Oryzias latipes: one gene and its partners. The protein of the gene in region 2 binds, or shares a complex with, the protein of the main gene of each other region. Links are inferred from orthologs where the notes say so. Each region holds a gene or a part of one and is shown on either strand. Other genes may lie near its edges. The genes, in order: ral guanine nucleotide dissociation stimulator-like 2, kras, mapkap1, sos1 and rgl1.

Region 1 (3,895 bases), on a different chromosome or scaffold from region 2:
CCTGGTCAGTGATATTCATAGTCACACATTCACTGCGAGAGCAGAACTGCAGATTTAAACTACGTCTCTTGGCTGGCCTGGGACTGGGAACGTTTTGCCCCCCCCCCCCCCCCCCCCCCCAAAAAAAAAAAAAGGAGCTGGAGGAAGTGGCTGGGGAGAGGGAAGTCTGGGCAGCTTTACTGAGACTGAGACCCGGTCCGGATGAGCGGAAGAAGATGGATAGATGGATGGGTGAGTGTGTAAATGTGTATGTTTTGTTTCTTGAGTGTGTGCTTGTGTGTATGTGCTAGTGTTTAGGTGTGCATGGACGTGTGTGTTTGTGCGTACATAAGTGTGTATGTGGGTGTGTATGTTAGTGTGTATATGTGTGGATGTAAGTGTCTTTAGAAGTGTGTGGATAAGTACATTTGTGCGTATGTGAGTGTGTTTAGGTGTGTGTGGACGTGTGTGTTTGTGTGTACTGTATGTAAATGTGCAGAGGTCAGTAAATGCATCACACCGTCGATCATTTTTGTCTCTTTTTCCTCTTAACTGACCTCAGACACCCCCCATATTCTACAGATTTGATCACACAAAGTTTTTTTTAGTCAAGTTTTGTTCTTTTTTTACATCCCAAAGGATCCGGTTCATAACTGTCTGCCACTTTAAAAAAAAAAAGCTCAGACATGAAAGATGTAGCAGAGAAATCAAAGCTCCACCCAAAAGCTGTGGACTTTTTCAGAAGAAAAGACAGTAAACGTTTGCATGGACTCTTCTGGGGGGGGTGAAACTTCACCACCACAGCTAATCAAACTAACCGTAGCAGCTTCCCAAAGTCAGAGCAGACTAAATATAGCGTTTCTTCAAACGGACGTCTGGCGGAAGTGAAAGTGCTGACAGAATCGGAGCATCAGCTGTTTTCTGCTCTTTAAAGCCCTTTAACGCACCGACCGGATTCCTGATCAAGCAGCTGAGGTCTTAAATGACTCCGACTGCAGGTGAGATGATCATGCTGTCAGAACCTGATCAGATGTTCCTGCAGGGAAAGGCTTTGGAGGAGATTTGGGGTCTAAAGCTTCAGTCAGGACTGACAAATGAGGAAAACAGAACGTCCGCAGGAAGACTTCTGTTGACTTAGTTGAGTCCTTGGCTTTCCCTGCAGCGGCTTTGCAACGTTTACTGGCAAACATAGTGGGAGACGGTTGTCTGCCGGTTTCCCACGTGGACTTGACCACAAGTTATGCGAGTTAAAACCCAAAACACGAATCTGCAGCTTATCAGGAGAAAGCATCTCTGAGGCCTGTTGAAGCCCTGCAGGGGGCACACGAGCTGCCAACAGCTGCAGAGACGTCAGAAAACAAAAGAGCTTTTGAAACCCGACTCCCAAACACGGTCAGGGTGCTCAAACTGGCAGCTTTCCCCTCCCAGCAGAGGCTCTGAATGACTTCACCCGCCGTCCCATAACAGGAGATGCACAAACACCATCATGGACGCCTGGCATCAAACCTCAAGCACGTGAGCTCCGCTTTCCGAGTGAACCAGCTCACCTCTGAACGCCCCGTGACCTCGTGACGTCGCCCCACGTCCGCTCACCTCACCCGGAAAACACAAAGCCCTATTCATTCCGCTCCTTCCTTATCTGCAGCACAGCTCACCTCCTTCAGCAGCTCCCGCGTCTGTGAGTAGTTGTCCTTGTCGGAGAAAATCTCTGCCAGCTCCTCGTATCTCCTCAAGGCCTCTCTGTGAAGGAAAAGGTCAAGGGTTCAATTAGATTCCCGCTTCGTTTAGATGTACAGATGACGTAAAGGCGATCTGCACCAGGAGAAATGAAAAGTACAATAGCAAGGATCAATCTATCACACTTTCACATGGAAAAAAAGGACGGAAAACTTTTGTTATAACTCCTTCTGTCATTAAATACTTTTAACTTTGAATTATTTTTAGTCCATTTTAAAATCGGATTTTTGACACATTTGAAATTTTCCTCTAATACATTAATAAAACCCCTTTTCAATTCATTTTTAACAGTTTGACCTTATTTAATTTAAAATAAAAACATTAAAAAGTACATTTTTATTTGCATTTCTTTTATTTGTTTAATTTTTACGAAAGTATTTCTACTTTTTCCAGCCGAAATGATGCAATGTCACTGCATGTGCAAACTAATATATTATAACCATTAATCACTAGAAAAATATACTTTTAAATAACCCAGTTTAACTTATTTGAAATTTAACTGAGATATTAAAAGGACATTTATCTGTAGCTTAAGTTACTGTAAGAAGTAACACAATAATAAGACTGAATAACACAATGTTTCTTAAAGTTCATCAGTAAATGTAAAATATTATTAATTTTACCTTCTTCTATTTGATCCATTTATGATTTTAATCTTTTATTTTAAAAGTTATCTTGCTGTATTTTCAGAATAAAAGACTTGGCAGATCTTAAAATGGAATTAAAAGAACCTTAGATTATTGTTTTATGGAATTGTTTTCATTAATTTTGAACCAAATCAACCCATGACTCTGAAGTTGGGAAGAAAAACAAAGTCCTCCCCATTCTGAAACAGCTGTTGGAAGTGTTTCAGCTTTAAACATTTAAAGGGAATTTGGCTAACATGCAAACTGAGGCCTGAAGAATGAGAGAAAAAGCTCAATTTCCAAGTGGACCGCCCTGTCCTAACATCTCGCTGCAGAGCTATTGATCATCAGTTTCTCGCTTTTTCATTTGTTAGATTAGTCTGCTTCTGCCTCTCTGACTTGACAGAACTACGTCCCACACCTGTCGGTGTCGTGCCACGTTCTCCTCAGCCGGTGGATGGGGTTACTCTTCAGCGCCGAAACGACGGCGTACAGCGAGGAGAAGTTCTTCCTGGCTCTGCACTCCTGTTGGAAGCACAAACACACGCATGAACAGGCGTTTGCATGAACAAACACAGACGCTCCTTCCTCTGTTGGATGAGGATGGAATGGCGAGGAAACCAATGAGAAACCAGCAGTGAGCCAACAAACCACAGTTTGACCAGAGATACCCTGCAGACAGAAACCCAGAGTCTGTGTGTGTGTTTGCACTGTCATCGCTCTGACATAACGCCGAAAGCTGAGCCAAACACTTTGTTTGCACACAGCTCGTATATCATAAATGCCCCTTAGAGTTAGAGTTCCCTTAGTGTGACTACAGATCGGGAAACATGGAATGAAAACATCTTTTGTGTGCCAGAAAGGGAGTTCAATTCCCACAAAATTTCCCATGAAAAGAAAAAAGGAAAATAAAAAAACAAAATGAAAAGTTTTACACATTTAAAGAAGGAGAACCTAAATAAGTACACCTTCTTTCCCCAGCCCATCATAAATAATGAATTAATAGAGTTTCATTCCATAGAAAAAGTATTTCAAACACACAAGGGATTTTTCAGCGTAAAAGTCTATTTATGGTCATAAAGTCCCACTTCGATCATCTTTTGATCTGTTTTCAAAGCGTTCCCAATGGTCTTTTCATTATGGTTATGAAGTTTTTTGCCAAAATATAAGGAAATTAAATTGTCGCTTTCCAGGACATAGTTTCTGCAGAGCAGCAAGAGCTCATTAGAAATTAATCTCTGAGTTGTGGACGATACTGTTGGCGTGAAGTTAGCCCTGCCCCCCCCTTTCTATTACCCATCTGTTTAGATGCTCTACCACTAGCTCACAGCACCTCACACCCCCAACATAACATCAGGGGTGCAACAAAAATGGCGAGCAACATTGGAACCATCCAATTTTGAGCCCGATTCTCCCAAAATCTTTAGGTAGTTTGAATCAGAAGTGAACTTTCTTTTGCGTTTGTACCGTTGTGCTCTTGAGCAAATGAACTCAGGGAGACTTTCCCCTTTAGAAATGTTTTCCATCATTTCAAGCCATCCCTCGCCATCACA
Region 2 (4,564 bases):
ATTCCACGTTTGAGTTGAAATACAACTAATTGAATGTGATGTGAACTCTTGTGCGACAACATTGCAGTAGGAGTGTTAAATTTGGCCCAAACTACGCCCAGTCGTTAACCTACAGTGTGGCCCTGCACTGCAGATTTATGCTAGCTTGCCTCCTTCAAAATGTGCAACCTTTTAACTTTGCATTAAATTTAACTGTTGTCCTCCAGGGTTTAGTACAAACAAGGCAAAACTAACGAGTCACTTTCATTAAAACACACTACTTTGTTTCATTAAAGCGAATAAAAACCAACTTTTGGGGCTGCTTGAAAGCTCCGGTGCTAATGCGGCTAACAGCACAGCCGTTAGTCTTATGCTAGCAGGTTTTCCTCATACGGGATAAGGATTTAATTGACATTTTAATGTAACATTTTTTTTTAATTTAGACATAACGTGGCTGTCCCGACCTGCTTCAACAAAACCAAAATACACAAAAGTTTAGTTGAAAAGCCGCGTCCGCTTCATACGGGTATCAATCTTTAACGCTAGGCTAATATTTGTATAGGTGCTAATCAATCTCCATTAATCCCATCATTGTGTTAGCGGTGAATTTGAGTGCTTTTTCTTTCCGCGTTGGGTTTGAATTAAATATACCCCTAACAAAAGATTGTACACAATTTTGTGACTTCCCAGGATGGGATTTCAGAATCCACAGCGTTTGATTTGTCTTCCTGTTCAAACACAAACCTTCAAAGGACAAACACTACTATCGACTGCTTTTGCCTCCTTTAAACTAAGGAAGAAAAATGGCATAACCCATACCCCCTCTACTTTAAATATAAAAATATAAAATAAATACAATAATTAGTTAACAAAAAAAAGCCTAATTTATTTCTTAAAAGTTTCTAAAATGAAACTTACATTTTCCTCTAATTTATAGCTAGTTTCACAAAGTTTGAACCGGCTTTAAAAACGTGGTGTTCCTACATAGCTTTCCTTTTTTTTTTTTTTGACTCTTTCAGCCACGGTAATCTTAGTTGTGGAAGCAGTATTTAGTGCATCTCTTCTATGGCTTTGAGGAGTTTGTATTGTAGTCTTTGAAAAGGCCAGCTGCCAGTATTGATAGATGCTGCTCCACAAAAGTCAGACAGCAGAGAGCCTCCCTGTTGCTTGTCAATTTTACAGCCTTAATGTAATGTCATAGATTTCTGCCTGGAGCTAGGTTCTGTTGTCTGATTATCACTCAGAAAATAGCCCTGAATGTGTTGCTGGACTCAGACCTTTGATTTGAACTGAAAAACTATCTATTTTTTACTTCTCAAAGCTCACCACCTGCTTATTTCAGGTCACTTTTCTATAGAAGTTCTGTTTTGTTTTACCTTTTTCTATAATGATGAGTTTTAATATACATGCTTAGCATTTTATGACAGCTAGTCTTTAAATTTAAGGTTCATATGTTGGTTTTGTTTAGATTAAACAACAAACTGTATTTTGTGATTGCATTTTTTCAAACTTTCTGGGACATTTGGATTTTTACTGCATTGCAGCTGTCAATTTACAGGTTTCCTTTAGCAAGAGATGATCAGATGACTGTCCCCTAAAACTGTCTGCAAATTATTAGAAGTATGAGAAAAGAAACCAAAATTGACAATAACAATGAAACCAAGTGTCATAATTTTGAGACGTGCATCATTTGCCATTAAGGGTTCCGCTGAATTGGGGATGTACTACTTGATGATGTTCTTACTTTGGTCCCTCAGGTGAATCATGACGGAATATAAGCTGGTTGTGGTTGGAGCTGGTGGTGTTGGCAAGAGCGCGCTTACCATTCAGCTCATCCAAAACCATTTTGTGGATGAATATGACCCCACCATTGAGGTAAAGGAACATTGTGTATGGATACACAAATTGACAGTGCATTAGCAATAAAACTTGTGTAAAAAAAAGAAAAAGCAAAGAGTTGTAACAGGTTCTACTAGTTTAACTATTAAAAGACACCAAACGGGTTTTCTAATGGCTTCACACTTGGCTTCTTGCACAGTTTCTTAGAGCCAACTGATTTAGTATGAACAGTTTAATTTAGAGTTCTTTTAATTTGAATTATTTTTATTGACATGCATTTTTTAGGTCAGACAAACTCCATGTTAACTCGGATAAAAAGAGCAGCGCTACTGTTCTTTTTATCCAGGTTAACATGGAGTTTGTCTGACCTAAAAAATGCATGTCAATAAAAATAATTCAAATTAAAAGAACTCTAAATTAAACTGTTCATACTAAATCACTCCATGTTAACTCCATGTTAACCTCGATAAAAAGAACAGTAGCGCTGCTCTTTTTAGCTATTTTCATCTGTGCGATTTAAAAAAAAAAAGAAAAGTGAAGCACCGAGTGGGACTTCAGTGTAACTTGAGGCCTGCTGCAAAATTGATCAGAAAGGGACAATAATTGAGTGGAGTCCAGTTTCAACTTTGAAGACACGACAAAATAATCATCAATGCAGGCCTGCTTAAGTGGTACAATTATGTTAAGATTCTAAGCTACATGACAATCATTTCAGCAGAAAAAACTATGAATTATGAAACAAAGCCATTGAGTTTCTTAAACTATGTCACATTTTTTGTATATTCAATTTTATTCACATTTAAATTCTTGGCCATTTTTTCTCCCTTCAACATAGTGAAAAGGGAAAAATTGCACTGGTGTTTTTTTTTCCTACTAAAAAGAAAAGATTTTTAGAACTTTGTAGTTACTTCCTTGTTCGCCTTTTATCCAAATTATGTCAGACCAAAACATTTTTGCCTTTTTTGTTTGTAATTTTTTTTCTTCAAATAAAATGTATTACTACTGACTGACTATTTATATCTTTATTTCACCATCTAAAATTAAAAGTGATCACTTTTGCCTAGTATTGTGAAACTACATTTGAATATACTTGTATATTTATCATCACTTCTGTTTTTTTATAAATATTTGGTGACTCCCCAGTTTGTGTACATTTTTGCAAAATGGCGAAACAATTTTTATATTCTAAAGTACTCTAAGCATAAAAACAACTTTTTTTTGTTTACTTGACTCACTTTTCTACAGAGTTCTGATCATTTGAAACTTATTTCTTGTTCAGGACTCCTACAGAAAACAGGTAGTAATTGATGGAGAGACGTGTCTGCTGGACATCCTGGACACTGCAGGTCAGGAGGAGTACAGCGCCATGAGGGATCAGTACATGAGGACAGGGGAAGGCTTCCTCTGTGTTTTTGCTATCAACAACACCAAGTCTTTTGAAGACATTCACCACTATAGGTGAGCTGAAAGACAAGCTGGCAGGCAGTAGTCTTCCAGAACTGTTGTCATTTTTTTCTTCAAAATAAAAATGTGTCCATTTGTAAGTAATTATTTTAGCACAAAAATAAAACATTCATCACCGAACAAAGGTGATCTGTGGTCTGATTTGAATCTATTTATGTGTGGAATTTGGAATAATTTGGTTGATGGTTAAACAAAGTTCATGTGTTTGACTGTCCAGAGAACAGATTAAGCGGGTGAAGGACTCTGAGGACGTCCCCATGGTGTTGGTGGGAAACAAGTGTGACCTCCCGACCCGGACGGTGGACACCAAGCAGGCTCAGGACTTGGCACGCAGCTTTGGCATTCCCTTTATTGAAACCTCTGCCAAAACCAGACAGGTAAGTCTGCCCTCGGCTCCATGCAACATGTTTTTTTTAAATAATAAAATGTTATTTCAGAAAAAAAACTAGGATATTGTAATTTAGAAAAGTGTCTTTTAAAAATTTCGAATGAATTGAAGATAAGTGATTGAATCACGTTTCTGCTGATTTGTGTCACATTCACTGTCTCTAATGGCCCTTTTTATCATAATGTTGGAGGGAAATGTCCCTGCTAATGTATTGAGCCTCATTAAATCATCTCTCTTTAATTGAATTTTTATTTATGTGAGGTAAGGTAATCACTGCATGCTGCTACGTCATGAAATGACGAATTGACATTGTCAGTTGGGCCCACCTGAAACCATCCTTGTAAATAATCTGCAAATCGGTTCAAATCAGGGGTCTGCATGAAAGGGCAAACTGTCAGTAATTTCTGAGAGGTTTGATTCTTCAGCGAGCTGGTCACTGTTTGTGGGTGTTGGAAGATTAGCTGTGGTGTTGCATCCTGTGGTGGGTGTCGTGATCGTTGCCTTTGCCATTAGATGGGCTCATGGAGTGATCTGTGAACGTGTTCATCCTGGTCTGTGAGCTGCAGCCAAACAGCACTTTTTCTGGTGTGGGGAAATGATTGGTGCCGTGACTAATTCCTGGCAGCTTTGTTCACCTATTCCCTCTTGAGTGTCCCGTACCTTTTGTTCATACGGTTTCGCTCCTGTCTGATTGCAACTTTACTTTTGTTGGGAGTCAATTGCCCCCCCCTCAAATGTTTATTTTTTTTCCTCTGACTTCTGTGGAAAATCCTGAATGCATGCACCCTTAATTTGTGTCCAGTTTGAATAAAGTGATATTCCACCCAGTTGTTAATCTCCTGCAGGCTTGGAATGTGACTCTGATTTTTAAGGAGGCGCCAACTGCAGCCTAAA
Region 3 (4,653 bases), on a different chromosome or scaffold from region 2:
AAGGAAAACAACCAGAAAAACGATCAGACAGACAACTAGAACATATTTGTTTTGTTTTGAAAAATGTTTGTGAATATAGATTTTCTTTTTGTTTAGAACTATGAAATGCGTGGGTCAATCCAACTCATTGACTGAATATGAGAACTGGACAGAGTAAGTGTGACGTCACTCACAGAAAATTGGCTTACTTCTGGTTCCAACCAATTGAAGTAACTTCAGTCACCATTTTTTGCAATGTGGACGTCGCCAGGTTGGGAGTCAGACAATGTTAGCAAGGAGTGATTGGTCTAAGACAATCAGAGTCAACATTGTTATGGCAACCACTCTCACAAATCCAGAGAGAGCTTGTTGAAAGGCCACACCCCTACCACTTAAAGCGGACTGCACAAAATCTGTTAATCAATCTTTGAACATGAGGCCACACGCTTTTATTGAGACCCATGATTGGTCAGTTTATAACATGATTAGCTTGTACTAAAGAAAAAATATTATTAGAAAAAATAGGATTATCAAGAACATGTTCAAAAAAGGTATCGGAGCAAGAATGGTTATTCTGACCAACAGAATGACTGATTAACAGCTGTTTATTTCTATATAGAAGTCTATAGGATTTTGGCTTCTTGGGGCCAGCGCGTACTTCCTGTTAGGAACACCAGGGGGAGGGGTCGGCAAGTCCAGTTCTCTTATACAGTCAATTGCCAAAATGTATTTGAACCATGTTTTTTTGGTTATTTTCAATATTGATGTTGAAGTCCCGCTCCTATCATCTTTTGATCTATTGCAAAAAGCATTCTCAGAAGTCTTTCTTTATGTTTATGCTGTTTTATGTGTAGTTTTCTATGGCATGGTTTCTGCAGAGCAGCAGGAGTTCATTAGAGATTCTCTGAGTTGACCAGTGGCACATAGCTAGCCCACCACCACTTCCCGTCACCAATCTGTTTACAGTCTCTCCAACTAGCTTAGAGCCTCTAACAACGCCAACCTAAAGGCCCGTTCACACCGGGACGAATTTCGCTGGCGATTTTCGCCGACGTTTAACGCCTCGTGACTAAACAAAGGGCACCAATGGGAGTGTGCACACCGACGCGAAAAAACGCCAGGCGTCAAAGCGTCAAAAAAAAAAACGCCTCGGGTTCGTTTTTTTTTTTTCGACGCGTCGCGTCGAAATCTATTCGACCAATGAGAATGGCGCTTTTGCACACATGTCTGGAGCTTCTGAAGTTACAGTAAAACACAACTTGGGGGCGCTCAAACACAAAACTGCCTTGCTGAGCACACATACCAGCGAAGAAGATAGACGCCAAGTAGCGTCTACACTGCTGCGAAGAAATAATGACGGACATTCTAAAATATCCCCGAACCAAGCACCAGTTGGAGCAACTGGTGCTTGAAATATTCATGTTTTCTTTGTTTGATTCTGACAAGCGCGTAAATACTTGCTCTCTTCTTCTGAGTGAAAAGCGACTTTAATAAGCGTAAAGTTGCGCAGCGCCACCTTGTGTACAGGAGTATTTCTGTTTACATTAAGCGCCATCTAATGTCAGGGAAGGAAATTGCATGTTCGCTCGGCTCATCGTCAGTGGAAATCGCCTGGGTGTGAACACAAAAAACGTGGCGAAAAACGCTGGCGAATAACGCCTGGCGAATATTCGTCCCGGTGTGTACGGGCCTTAACATGAGCACTGCGATAAAAATGGTGAGCAATATTGGCGCTGTCCAGCCATACAGTTTTGATCCAGATTCCAGCTCAGACAGGGAAAACAAAGATGTACATGGAACAAGTTGTCCATGAGTGGATGCATTAGAATGAGGAGGGGCAGGAAGCTTGTGGCTTTCTGCAGTAGCTTCAGTTACAACAAGCTTTTTCTAACAGCATTTCTTTGTCTGCTCCTGATTCACAACTACGTGAACACAGAAATACTCAGAAATACAGTTTTGAGCCTAATTTTCTTTATATATGTCCTCTATCATCAGACAAATGCCAGTGTTTTTTAGTGTTTGGGCACAACGCTAACTTTTTTTTTTTTGAAGAATCAGAAGTCGTGTCACATCTGAAAACACGAAGTTTGTTCACAGTGTTTAGTCTAAACACGGATGTTGACAGCTACAACAGGCAGATGACGGCGCTGAGCGCATGGGCAGCTGAGAAGAACACTTCACCATCAAGAAAACGGATTATGAGCACAGAAATCACTGTGATGACGTAACAGTTCCCACTGTAACAGCTGTAAATGATGTCTGACGGTCATTTCAGCTGAGGACACAGTCTTATCTGGGGAAAGTTCTCACAGGAAAAACACGCTCGTGTAAAACACACGACACAACTGAAACAAACACCACATGTCAGTAAATACAAATTTGTGTCGGAGTTTATCATTTTAAGAAGGTAGAAGTTAAACAATCGGATTAAAAAGTTCTGTGTACATTTATCAGATCATCATCATGTTTTGCGTTAGCAGCACCTTGTTTTCCTAACCAAAATGGCTCACTTAAACCAGCTGAATTACAACAAAATCCATTTCAGCTGCTCCAAAAAGTAGCAGGAGGATCTACAGACTGAAGTGATTCATACTTTATAAGCGTGTAACATGACAGGAACAGCTTACAGATCGCATTACAGTCGGTTAGCGGTGACTAAACTCAAGCTAACGATTATCTCTCCCGAGTCAGTTAGCAATAGCAGTGGTATGAACAGAAAGAAGATCCCACCTCTACGTTTTTCTGACGAGACACAGCAGAGTCCACGTCCCTCCATCTCATCCAGTCTACTTATTTGGCCGACGAGTCGTTACATCCGTGAAAAACAATTCAATGCATTAAAGTCTCAAAACAACCGAAAGCCAATGCAATCTGCTGCGCTCGTGCAACCAGGAAGACATCCTTTTGACTTCCGGTGTAATCTCTTCACAATAAAAGAGCCACCAAACGAAAAACACGCACAAGAGCAGTTCACTGACCGAGGCAGTGAAAGTAAAGGAACACTGAATTATATGCACCTTTATTCCTTACTAGTATTTCAGCGTTTACAAAATGTTGTGCACACATCCAAATGCACTTCACACTAGAAAGTGAAAAAATAAAGAAAAGTTAAAAAAGAGAGAGAGATGCCAGAGCAAGATAAAATTATGCTTTTGCAAGTTCAAAGTATCATCACATGAAATAGAAATGTGGCTGCAAAATCGTGCGATCATGAGTAAAAAGAATTATCGCAGCAAAAATTTGCAAGAACCTTTTCTATTTACATGGATATTTTTGAGATCTTCAAAGTTCTTCCATCTTTCCATTACACTTGTGGAACCTGTCAACAGATTTCCATCTCTCTCTTTAAAGACCCACTCTGGTGAAATTCTTATTTTTTGCCACAAGAACATGTTTTTGACATGTTCATGTTCTCATTTTTCTGATGATAGAGGACATCCATAATGAAAATTCAGCTTAAAATGGCATTTCTGAGTGTTTATTTATTCAAATTGTTTGGAATCAGGAGCAGTTTGAAGAAGACCACCCTCTACCACTACCCTTTTTCTTTTTATGTATCTTTGCCTGTGTGTCCTTCCATATACATAAATACTTACATTTTTTTGACTTGTAGTTGTTTTATTTTTTTATTCCTGTAGTTATTTGTGGATTTTTGTGGCCCATCACATTTAGGGGGCAGTCACTGTATTTAGGGGGGCATTGCCCCCCACTGCCTGTGCCTTTATCCAATCTTACAGTAAAAAAATTGGATCTACTGGTATTTGTCTGGATATATATATACACAAACATAAAAGTATATTTATGTAACCACATTGCAAACATTACCTAACAGAACTTTTTCGTCTGCTCCTGATTCACAACAATTTGAATAAAGAAATACAAAAAAATGCAGTTTTGAGCTAAATGTTCTCTATACATTTCCTCAATCATCAGAGAAATGTTAAAAGAACACGTTAAAACCAAACACAATTATCATTGGCTTGAACCTTTTCAGCCCCACAGTATGGTTTGCTTTGAGGATGCAAAAATGCTTTCTCCACAATCCGCTTTAATGATGAAACCACGTGGTAAAATGAGTTTTAAAGCATCCCTATTCTGCGCTGTGTTTTGTTCCTGAATTTCTTTTTCCTCATTTGTCTGCGTCCCCCTTATAAACCATAGAACAAATGAATCGGAGCCTGTAAAGTGGAAGGTTTTCTGCGAGGCGTCCACTGAAGAGCATCGTAGCAGTCGGTGGGAGGGGGCGGAGCTATCTGCGGTCAGCAGCGGATCTCGCTGTGGGCCCTCGCTCTGGGTTTAGCTACACGAAACCGGAAACACACCATGTAAATATTAACACTTCAGCTAAAGTTCAGGATCACTCTGTTGGTTTCAGGGCGGCAACATGTTTTGAAAACCAGCCAAAGCACGCGGGGAAACTCGAGGTGAGCGGTCCGTTCTGCGTATTGCCTCGCGGGGTAAGTACTAGCTCCTCAGCTTCAGCTTGTAAGCTAACTGTGCTTGCTAACAGATATTCTGCGTCTCCAAACTAATGTTGCGGTTTTTTTTGACACGGAGGTGTTTTGTAAAGACGGAACGTGGTTTAAAAAGACTTCAGGTACCCGGGCTGCTCACTGCCTGCCGTGAACTGTTAGGCGGTGCTTGTCTAATTCTGATCCACCCGTTAGCTTTAGC
Region 4 (4,515 bases), on a different chromosome or scaffold from region 2:
TGCACAAAACACACATGCACACACCAACACACACACACAACATACATACCAACATACACACGCACACAACACACATCAACACATCCATCCATACCAACATACACACGCACAAAACACACATGCACACACCAACACACACACACAACATACATACCCATACATACCAACATACACACGCACAAAACACACAAACACACACACGCATACCAACATACACGCACACAGACACACATAAAACACACATACAATCACACACATACCAACACACACAAACACACATTTTCAGGAGTCTCAAAGTATTCTCAGCGTTCGTCAGGTGTTTCTAGAACGGCGTGGGGGGTTAGAATGTACCTTGTCCGCACACATGGCCACAGTGATGTCCTGCTTGGTGATGTCATAGTGGCGGATATTTCTTACATAGTTTCCTGCAAGTTTTAGGATGTCAGCAGAGATGTACTCCAACACAGCTACCATGTACACGGACACCTGGTGCTCAATCTTATAGCCCAGAACCTCCTGAACACAATGCATGATGGGAGACAGAGAGATGCAAAAGTCCTGAGATCTTTTCAGTGCTCCAAACCGCGGCCCGCTTCCCCAAACTTTCTACTCTGTGGAAGCCAACAGCAAAGCTTCTTCCTGAAGACGATTCTGTCTGAGAGTCAGAGTTACTGATAAACATGGACAAGAGCGGAGGATGGAGAAAACACTGACAGGACGGTTACCTTCAGCAGGGGATGGATCTTATCAACCGGCAGAGACAGAGGGTTCCTTCTCTTCCTTTTCTCGATGGCCGCCTGAGCATCTGCAATCGCCCACTTGTCGATAGGATAAGGAAAACTCTTCTGGACCCTCTCCTAAGACAACCGACAGAAGGTGTGAGGACCAAGTGACCTGACCTGCAGGCTTGACCTCACTTAGGTGACTAAAGGTAAGAGGGTTTGTTTCCAGGTTTCAGCATCCCTAAGCCTGTAGGTCTGAATCATTGGTGGAGATTTCAAGGGCTTGTTGGTGGAACATGCATGTGGCCACGGCAAACGTGTGCACGTGTGGATGGGTGCAGGTGTGCACGTGTGTTTGTGTGCACATGTATTTCTGTGCATGTGTGTATCTGTGTATGTGTGCATGCGTGTATCTGTGCATGTGTGCACGTGTGCGTCACCTCCACGTCCTGCACTGTGCGAGGCTGGGCCTGACACAACATGCTGAGCAGCAGCAGGATCAGCTCTTCGATGTACTGCAGCGCCTCCTGCTGGGACTTCAGGTTGGGGTGTACCTGGTTCAGTACCTGCAGCGTGCAGCCACACACACAACGTTTGATCAATAATTAAACAAAACGAAATGACAGAGCAGGTTTGATCAGAACAAGCAGAAACACAGGCCTCATGGATATGTGCTGCCCCCCAGTGGAGGAGGACAGAAAGACACCTTTCTCTCTGAGTTTCTGTTGGTTTTAGCTTCTTCTGTGTTTCTTTTTTTTAATTTATGTTCACCAACAGGCCGAAACCCACTTATGGGCGACGGTCAGACTCTACACCGGGTTCAGGTCTGCATGCTGGTCCCACAGGAACCAGGTAAAGACCAGACCTGCTGCTCCTTTCATGCAGCTAAGAAGACCTTCTCTGGAAATGTTCCCGTCCAGAACCACAGCTGATGATCACAAACAGTTATTTTAGTCCAGTTTTAAAGTCGTTTAATCATAATTTAACCTTTTGGGTTTTAAATCCCATTAAATTAATACATGCAGGAGTCCAAACATCTGTCCTGACCCAATAGAACATCATCTGAACCCAGGAGACCTCAGTCCATCCAACCTCCCACATTTCCACCTGATGCACCGCTGGCAGTAGAACCAGAACCAACACAGAAACCATGAGCGTTACAAACCAGGTCCACATGGTGGTAGACCGTGTTGTGGGTCAGAAACCTGTCATCATTCTTTGAGTTCCTGTTGTAGTTTCTGCCTACCAGCTGGACTCTGCCATCATTAAATGGATCTCTCAGGACGCGGGCCTGATGACAGCGGTCAGAGGTTCTGATGGTGAGCAGAACTTATGAAACATGGATCCAGAGGGTCAGAGGTCAGCCACCTGGAGCGCTTCTACCCGGTCCAACCCACAACTTTGGAGGTCCAACAAAGAACTCTGGGACAGTGAGGAACAGATTTGCAGAGTGTTGATCTTCTAAATCACAAGAGAACCACATCAGTCCAGGTCGGATCGGGACTGAAGTGGTCCAGGTCGGATCGGGACTGAAGTGGTCCAGGTCGGATCGGGACTGAAGTGGTCCAGGTCGGATCGGGACTGAAGTGGTCCAGGTCGGATCGGGACTGAAGTGGTCCAGGTCCGATCGGGACTGAAGTGGTTCAGGTCGGATCGGGACTGAAGTGGTCCAGGTGAGCTGGAAGAGTCCAGAACCTGTAGCCTCCGGGGAGCAGGCAGACCCCGCTGCCCCCATCTGACGTCAGCCGTCCTGTCACGGAACGGCCCGGCTTACCTGCAGGGCCACACCTGGCTGCAGCAGCCGCCTACGTGCGTGCGTGCGTGCGTGCGCACCTACCTTCTCCAGGGAGGGCACCAGCAGGCCTCTCCACCGCGGAGCGTTGTCCTCGCTGCAGAAATCGAACTGCAGCTGGCCCGTCTGCATGCTCACACGCACGCGGCTCCGTTTGGCGTGAATTCTGTGCGCGGCTTTGCGGGTCCAGCTGCGCGGCTGAAGCCGGGGGCCTCACGACGTCCGGGATCCGCCGGGACCGCCGCCACCATCCTCGGCTAACCGTTAGCTCCGCGGCTAGGAGCTAGCTGGACCGGGCGGAGGGCATGGCTTGCTGCGCGCTCCCGGGCTGCGCGCTCCCAGCACAGGCTCGCCGGCGGCGGGAGGGAGGGGGTCTCTGCGTCGGTTACTGGGCGCGGAGGGGGGGGTCAGCGGAGCAAACGGCGCGCCGCGGCTGTCATGTCACCGTTGCGGCTGGGGGGGGGGGCTCCAGTGCGGCGCCTGCGGGTGGGGGCCGCGTGACACCCGGTCTGTCTCAACCAGGATCCGAACCGGAAGGTCGGACGGTCACCTGCTGACGGCTGCAGCGCTCCGGAGGACCGAACCGAACATGGCGAGATAGTGAGCATGCGCAGTGGGTAGTTGCTGACGTTCAGGGGCGGGGCTGCTGTAGAGCGGAGAATCAAACTGATCTGATGGGAATCGGACCACCGGAACATAGGAGCACGTGCAGGTCAGAACTCAAATAATAAACTCTGTCCTGATGTACGTTTTTGAAGGTTAGAAACAGAACCGGAACCAGGACTGACCTTGATCTGGGTCGGGGGGGTCGTAACAACCCCCCTCCGCCCCCATTAGCTTCAAAGTTCCAGAGTGGAGTCTGATTTGAAGATTCAACACTCAGAACCAGAACCAACTGAGGGACTCCGTACCAATGAGAAGAAACCACTCTGAGATCAGGTGGGCTTCAAGTATTTTATTTACAAATGGGGGGGGGTCAAGTGGTGTGTGGGTGGGGGTCAGGTTAAGTGGTATGGGGGGCCCTGTTCGGACCTTCTTACCTGCACTAAGGAGGTGTCTTGATCACCTTTACAAAAATCTGGTGCTGTTGAGTGAAAAAGGTTTGGACACATCTAAGTTCTGCTGACTTTTCAATGGACCGGACATGGGGATCACGACCCCCCCCCCCCCCCCATGTGTCTCCCACCTGTCTGTGGCCTGATGGGGGGGCTGAAATGGATCTGGGCTCATCTGGAGCCAAAAACTGCGCCTCCATGCAGTCAGAGAGGAGGCTCCATCATCGGACCTGAACCCGCCCCTCAAGATTCAAACTCACCAGATCTTCACCTGTGATCACACCTGTGTAAAAACCGCAGGGGGGGGGGGTCAGCCAAAATACATAATTTCACAATGAGAAACGGTCACTGGCTAACAGACACTGTAAGACCCGTCCAAGCCGGGTCGGACGGCGGTTCCTCTGACACTACAAACACTGTTCCTATCGAAGACACCCAGAAGGGGGCGCCATGCTCCACAGAAGCTTTGCAGCAGAGGTATGAGTCCTCTTGAGGTTCTCCCTCAGCAAGAGTCCAGAAGCCAGTGTAAATAAAACCTCTGCAGCCCAGTCTGGACCACGTCTCGGAGTCCGGTGTCCTGCTGATCACCAACAGCTCACACAGAAGATTCCCGTGCAGTTTTGGACCTCAGAGCTCGGGCCCGGTTCAGGAAGGGGAAGGTGGTAGCAAGGCAGCCGGCAGCCACGGTCAGACCCAGACTTGTCCAGGCGAAGTAGATGGACCAACCGTACCCATGATCCACATCTCCAGGCAGACCGTAGATGAAGGGGGGGTTTCTGGAGAGGTCATAGGTCACGCTGGCCGCATAGGTACATAAGGAGATGGTGCAGAAAATGCCTGAAGACAGACGAGAGAGAAGATCAGAGCAAGGACAAAAAACCAGACGAAAGTCTGGACACTTAAAAAGTTACTCCGGAGAAACGTACTTTTTCAAAAGGCCTTGTCC
Region 5 (4,350 bases), on a different chromosome or scaffold from region 2:
TTTAAAGACACTGATCCATCAGACCAAACCTCTGAAAAGACTTGTCAATGGGGGAATCTGGAACCAACAACCTTCATTCTTTGCAGCCCCTGTTTGAAAAGAAGGCCTTCCTTTGGTGGTTTCATCCAGCTTCTTCCTGTTGTTCAGCCTGGAAACGTGTGCGTTCAGTCAGCAGACTGCCGATAAGCACACGACTCAGCACTCCGCCCTGAACTGTGGACTTGGGATGGAAGCTCAGCAGAATTCTGCAGGTTGCAGAGCAACACCCACTCCACGTTTGTGTGGGCCAATAAAGTAAATGATGCAAGAAGATGAGGACTGTCAGATTTGACAAAGACCAGGAGTTTGGGAGCTGCTCTTGCAAATAAAAACCTCATAAGGAAGGTTTATGTGAGCCCAACAGTTTTGTTTACTCTGGTTTCTCTTATATAACTTTTATGGAAGGCCTTTACTCCATATAATCACCTTGTTGACCCCTCAGAAAACAACTTCAAGTCAGCACAGTAAAAACAGGCACAAGGCGGGACCGGCGGAGCTGCTGCACGTTAACTAAATGTCCAGAGTGTGTGTTGGTGGGGGGGACAATGGCAGGAAATGGTGCTGTGAGATGGGCTGAGGCTCCGACCCGGCTGTCTGATGGGCAGCGAGGAGGACGACCATCCAGACCCGAACCCACGTCACAGTGTGACAGTGATCCCATGTTTCAGAAGAACAGTCGCAGTGGTGCTGGCTGAATCTGGGTCTGGCTGGACAACCCTGGTCCTCAAGAGCCTCTACCCTGCTTGTTTTCCTCTTTTCCCTGACTAGCTTGCTGCTGATTGGCTTACTCAAGAAGTTTCACATCCTGATTGACTGAACTCACCTGGTTTAGGTTTTTAGCAGCAAGCAGTGCAGGGAGAGCTGGAAAAAAGGCAAAGATGTGGCTCTTGAGGACCAGAGTTGGCCAACCCTGAGTGGCGGCATGTCATCCTGCAACATCTCAGGTATGGAAGAGTTCAAAGCTTTCTGTCTCACACATTAGGGCTACAAAATGTGCGTAATGAAATGCGGCAGTGCACAGAGGAAGATTAAAAGCAGGACAAACGGTGGGAAGTTGACCCAAGCGTTCAGTAGAGACTGGTCATTTGATGTCCAACATTTCATTTTTGTCTAAATCCATGCAGCTTGTCGTCTAACTGCTTCAGAGGTCGGAACTGTTTATACTAAAGTATGATCGGAAAACATGCTGAGGAAAATGGAGATAGAAGTAACTTTGCCAGTACAGGGCCACTGCGATTTTGAAGCCAGATTCGAACCAAAGACATGAGATGAGCCAGCAGGAGCTCCGTCTACAGACATTCTGAACCTGATCAAGAAAACCTTTGAGGCAAAGAAACGTTGACCTTCAAAACCACAAGTACTGAGACAGAAAATGTTCATGTCGACCATCATTTTTGATTGAACAAAAAGAGAAAACTCAGATGTTTTCACGCCTCAAAATCCAATCACTCCCCACTCTTCATCAGTCTTTGATCTGATTAGAGTCTTCCAGCAAACACACTGAAGTTGCAGAAAACCAGCTTTATGTTTTTGCAGGGAGGAAAAGCGTGGAAATGGCCGACGATTTTCCTTTATGGACATTAATCCTTTTACGTTAGAGCCACAAGTGAGCATGCATAAAGGGACATAAACAGCAACACTGACGCTTCAAGTGTTACACAAGCCACCCTTTGTGTGAACTCTAGTCAGACAGCACACACACAAAGGTTACTGTAAGTCTTTGACTCATCACTTGCTCAAGACTTCATTGAGGGTGTAAAGATCGTTTTTTTAATAATGTTCATTCCTCACAAAAATCAACCTCAAAGCAGTATTTTTGATCCATTCACGCATTTCTGAGTATGCCTCTAAAATCCTGGTCTCTGAGCACCAGCCCCTCCCAATCCACAAAAACAAGCGGGTTCTCACATTGTGATGTCACAAAGTGAAGAACAGCCCCTACCAGGAAGAGTCTGCGCTGCCAGCCCCGCCTCTAGGCTAACACACACCCAACCTCTTTCTCCGTGGAGCTAGCGGTGATCAGTTAAACGCTTTAATTTTCTATGCACAATATGCACATACGTCTTTGCAAAAGTTCAGATTTGTTTGTTTTTGTGGGCGAAACGCAGACACGCTGCTGAGGCCGGCTTTGGTATGATGTCATGAAATGGGCTGAATCCACAAGGAGCGAGAGGCGGAGCTTCAGAGATCGAGTCGTCTTACTTCTGGGTAGGACAATGAGCTGGGAAAATAATTAATACTTTATAAAAAAAATGTTTCTAGCCAAAGTATTACATTATCACATCTATAGATATAGTTTACTCTGAAAGACCTATGAAAAGAATTACCTGTAGACCCTTTCACACTAAAACCAAAAAAAAATCACAGCTGACTGACTGAACAGGTTTCTCTTTGTTTCGCAGCAGTTTGTTCATTTCTGAGATTCTTCTCATGTCAAACTGATTCTGTTTCTTCTCTCTGACCCTCTCTTTCATGTTATCTGTGAGAACAGCCAACAAACTGACCTTGAAGGGGGGCGACCAACGCCCCCCCATCATTCCTCCTCGCTGCGTATCTGTAAAGGGTTTATCATTTCCAGCTTCTTTTGGCATTCTGTTTTTCTTTTCGCAAAACCTTTCATTTCAGACACAGCGATGATGAAAACCAGAACACCTGCCAGGTTCTGTAAAGATTCTGGAAGCTCAGCGGCTCCATGACATGCAGTACTGACCCAGTGCTGTGGGCTGCTCTCCGGGTAGCGGGGCTGGAAGCTCTGCAGGGCAACCCCCCCCTCCCCCTCCAGCAGTAAAGTGCAGTCCAGGTCGGGGTGGGCTTGGTGGTGCTGGGGGCTTGCAGCCCAGGGCAGGAGGGTGGCCAGAGGGTACTGGGAGATCATGCTGGCTGCCTGCGTCAGAGGCTGGGGAGGGGGAACGCCATGCTCCAATCTGGATTTCAGTTCAGATGTCTTCTGTTGGTCTTCCAGTCAGATGTTGTGGTCCTCCTGTCTTCTCAAAAACATGCCCCCCCCCTCCTCCCTCTGTCCTCTCAGAAAGCCTGGAGATCAGCTCTCCAGCAGCCCTGAAGCAGGAGTGATTTCAGCCTATTGTCTGTCTTCCTCTCCTCACATCCATCACAGGCAGAGGGGGAGGAGCTACAAGTGGGCGGCAAACGCCCCACTTTAAAGGGTGACCAAGGAGAAGGGCAAGAAGAAAGAAAGAAAGAAAGACAGGAAGGCTGATAAACCTGAAGGGATGTCGCTGGAGAGCTTCGAAGAATTACATAAAAAAAGCAGGTTTTCTCTATCAATCATTGGGGGAAGATTTGGGCCAAAAAAAGAAAACTTTTTAAAAATAATCTAAAGACAAAACAAAAAACAGTCTTAGAACAGGATTGTCTTCAGCCTGTGTGAGTTTTGGACGTGTTCAGGCTGAGTTCACAGCATTTATGAACTTTGTCGCATGCAGTTTACTGCGATTCTGAATTAAATCAGTCAAAAAGACATGAGATCCTTTTGTTTTCCTATAGCAGCACAAAGATCAAAAAGCATAAAACTGTTTATTGTGCTGAAGGTCAGTTAGTGTGGGTGTGTGTGTGTGTGTTAAACATCATATAGCAGTCTGAAAAGAGGCTTCAGTGTTTTTCTGCTGGCTTCTTATTCACCAAATAAAACAGGATGTTGACTTCTTTTGCAGGATTTTTTTAACTGTAATAAGCAACTTTTGTCGCAGCGTGTTCAAAATTAACTGCTGTGTGTGTGTGTGTGTGTGTGTGTGTGTGTGTGGAGTGGGTGTGTGTGTCTTCTAAGGAGAAGTCACGTATAAAACTAAGAGAAGAGGATTACCCGGAGGCAGGCAGTGCTTCACTCAAACACAACCAGAAAAAGACACAAGTTTCCTTCCCATTACAATTTTGTTTTAGAAACAAGTAATTTCAGAAATAATCAACCCAAACACCAAAAAGTTTAGATTTATTTAGTCTGGATGAAAATGTATAAAACTATCCAGAACTGACTGATAGATGTAAAGATTTAGTTTCAGATCTCAGAGGGAACGGGAAATTCTCTCTCGTTATTCAGGTGGAAGTATGAAAATAGCAAAGAGGAAAGAAAAACTACTCTGTTTGTTTAAAAAGTATTTTATGATTGAGGGACAATCAGCTGTACACATGGTAACTTAAAATTTTAGTAACAACTGTGCTTACGGGCTCTCTGCGGATGTGAAAGAGTCAAACCTGCTGGGGGGCAGGTAGGTGGTCCGCAGGAAATATCAAGGTGGTGGACCGCTCTGCCAACCCGTAGGAAGATAATGTTCATGCACATTTTTCTATGGGCAT

The links.
Region 1: the proteins of kras (region 2) and ral guanine nucleotide dissociation stimulator-like 2 are in contact, whole or in part, in a crystal structure (PDB 8B69), measured with the Homo sapiens proteins. The link is inferred for Oryzias latipes from reciprocal best matches to the Homo sapiens genes KRAS and RGL2. Residues at the interface, in NP_001356715.1 of Homo sapiens: Ile24, Gln25, His27, Val29, Glu31, Asp33, Pro34, Thr35, Ile36, Glu37, Asp38, Ser39, Tyr40, Arg41, Lys42, Tyr64; in NP_004752.1 of Homo sapiens: Ile651, Arg653, Glu660, Asp661, Gly662, Ser663, Val664, Tyr665, Lys666, Ser667, Ile668, Leu669, Lys685, Lys686, Asn688, Arg689.
Region 3: the proteins of kras (region 2) and mapkap1 are in contact, whole or in part, in a crystal structure (PDB 7LC1), measured with the Homo sapiens proteins. The link is inferred for Oryzias latipes from reciprocal best matches to the Homo sapiens genes KRAS and MAPKAP1. Residues at the interface, in NP_001356715.1 of Homo sapiens: Ile21, His27, Val29, Glu31, Asp33, Pro34, Ile36, Glu37, Asp38, Ser39, Tyr40, Arg41, Leu56, Glu62, Glu63, Tyr64, Ser65, Ala66, Met67, Asp69, Gln70; in NP_001006618.1 of Homo sapiens: Phe280, His287, Gly288, Phe289, Ser290, Leu291, Ile292, Gln293, Lys307, Lys310, Arg311, Arg312, Lys313, Gly314, Ser315, Phe363, Glu365, Ile369, Val374, Met377, Leu378, Ser380, His381, Tyr484, Glu487, Ser488.
Region 4: the proteins of kras (region 2) and sos1 are in contact, whole or in part, in a crystal structure (PDB 8BE4), measured with the Homo sapiens proteins. The link is inferred for Oryzias latipes from reciprocal best matches to the Homo sapiens genes KRAS and SOS1. Residues at the interface, in NP_001356715.1 of Homo sapiens: Ser17, Ala18, Ile21, Gln25, Asp30, Glu31, Tyr32, Pro34, Thr35, Glu37, Tyr40, Asp54, Ile55, Leu56, Asp57, Thr58, Ala59, Gly60, Gln61, Glu63, Tyr64, Ser65, Ala66, Met67, Arg68, Asp69, Gln70, Tyr71, Arg73, His95; in NP_005624.2 of Homo sapiens: Lys602, Trp809, Thr810, Lys814, Leu822, Met824, Ile825, Arg826, Thr828, Thr829, Thr832, Leu833, Leu872, Val875, Ser876, Asn879, Ser880, Ser881, Pro882, Tyr884, Ser908, Asp910, His911, Tyr912, Lys913, Phe929, Phe930, Gly931, Ile932, Leu934.
Region 5: the proteins of kras (region 2) and rgl1 are in contact, whole or in part, in a crystal structure (PDB 7SCX), measured with the Homo sapiens proteins. The link is inferred for Oryzias latipes from reciprocal best matches to the Homo sapiens genes KRAS and RGL1. Residues at the interface, in NP_001356715.1 of Homo sapiens: Ile24, Gln25, Glu31, Asp33, Pro34, Thr35, Ile36, Glu37, Asp38, Ser39, Tyr40, Arg41, Leu56, Tyr64, Met67; in NP_001284600.1 of Homo sapiens: Ile651, Arg653, Asn660, Gly661, Asn662, Met663, Tyr664, Lys665, Ser666, Ile667, Met668, Lys685, Asn687.

Annotation. Positions count from the first base shown.
Region 1 is NC_019874.2:28,742,587-28,746,481, forward strand, and holds part of ral guanine nucleotide dissociation stimulator-like 2, read right to left. Parts: intron 2,868-3,895; coding exon 2,764-2,867; intron 1,720-2,763; coding exon 1,635-1,719; intron 1-1,634. UniProt on the Homo sapiens protein: Probable guanine nucleotide exchange factor. Putative effector of Ras and/or Rap. Associates with the GTP-bound form of Rap 1A and H-Ras in vitro.
Region 2 is NC_019864.2:21,724,886-21,729,449, forward strand, and holds the start of kras (GTPase KRas), read left to right. Parts: upstream 1-1,743; coding exon 1,744-1,854; intron 1,855-3,097; coding exon 3,098-3,276; intron 3,277-3,499; coding exon 3,500-3,659; intron 3,660-4,564. UniProt on the Homo sapiens protein: Ras proteins bind GDP/GTP and possess intrinsic GTPase activity. Plays an important role in the regulation of cell proliferation.
Region 3 is NC_019870.2:25,040,119-25,044,771, reverse strand, and holds the start of mapkap1 (target of rapamycin complex 2 subunit MAPKAP1), read right to left. Parts: upstream 2,896-4,653; 5' UTR 2,710-2,895; intron 1-2,709. UniProt on the Homo sapiens protein: Component of the mechanistic target of rapamycin complex 2 (mTORC2), which transduces signals from growth factors to pathways involved in proliferation, cytoskeletal organization, lipogenesis and anabolic output.
Region 4 is NC_019859.2:116,975-121,489, forward strand, and holds the start of sos1 (son of sevenless homolog 1), read right to left. Parts: upstream 3,102-4,515; 5' UTR 2,647-3,101; coding exon 2,560-2,646; intron 1,289-2,559; coding exon 1,163-1,288; intron 858-1,162; coding exon 726-857; intron 517-725; coding exon 352-516; intron 1-351. Other genes in the region: tmem178a (transmembrane protein 178A), read right to left, coding at 4,165-4,406.
Region 5 is NC_019862.2:29,177,669-29,182,018, forward strand, and holds the start of rgl1 (ral guanine nucleotide dissociation stimulator-like 1), read right to left. Parts: upstream 3,121-4,350; 5' UTR 2,915-3,120; coding exon 2,750-2,914; intron 1-2,749. UniProt on the Homo sapiens protein: Probable guanine nucleotide exchange factor.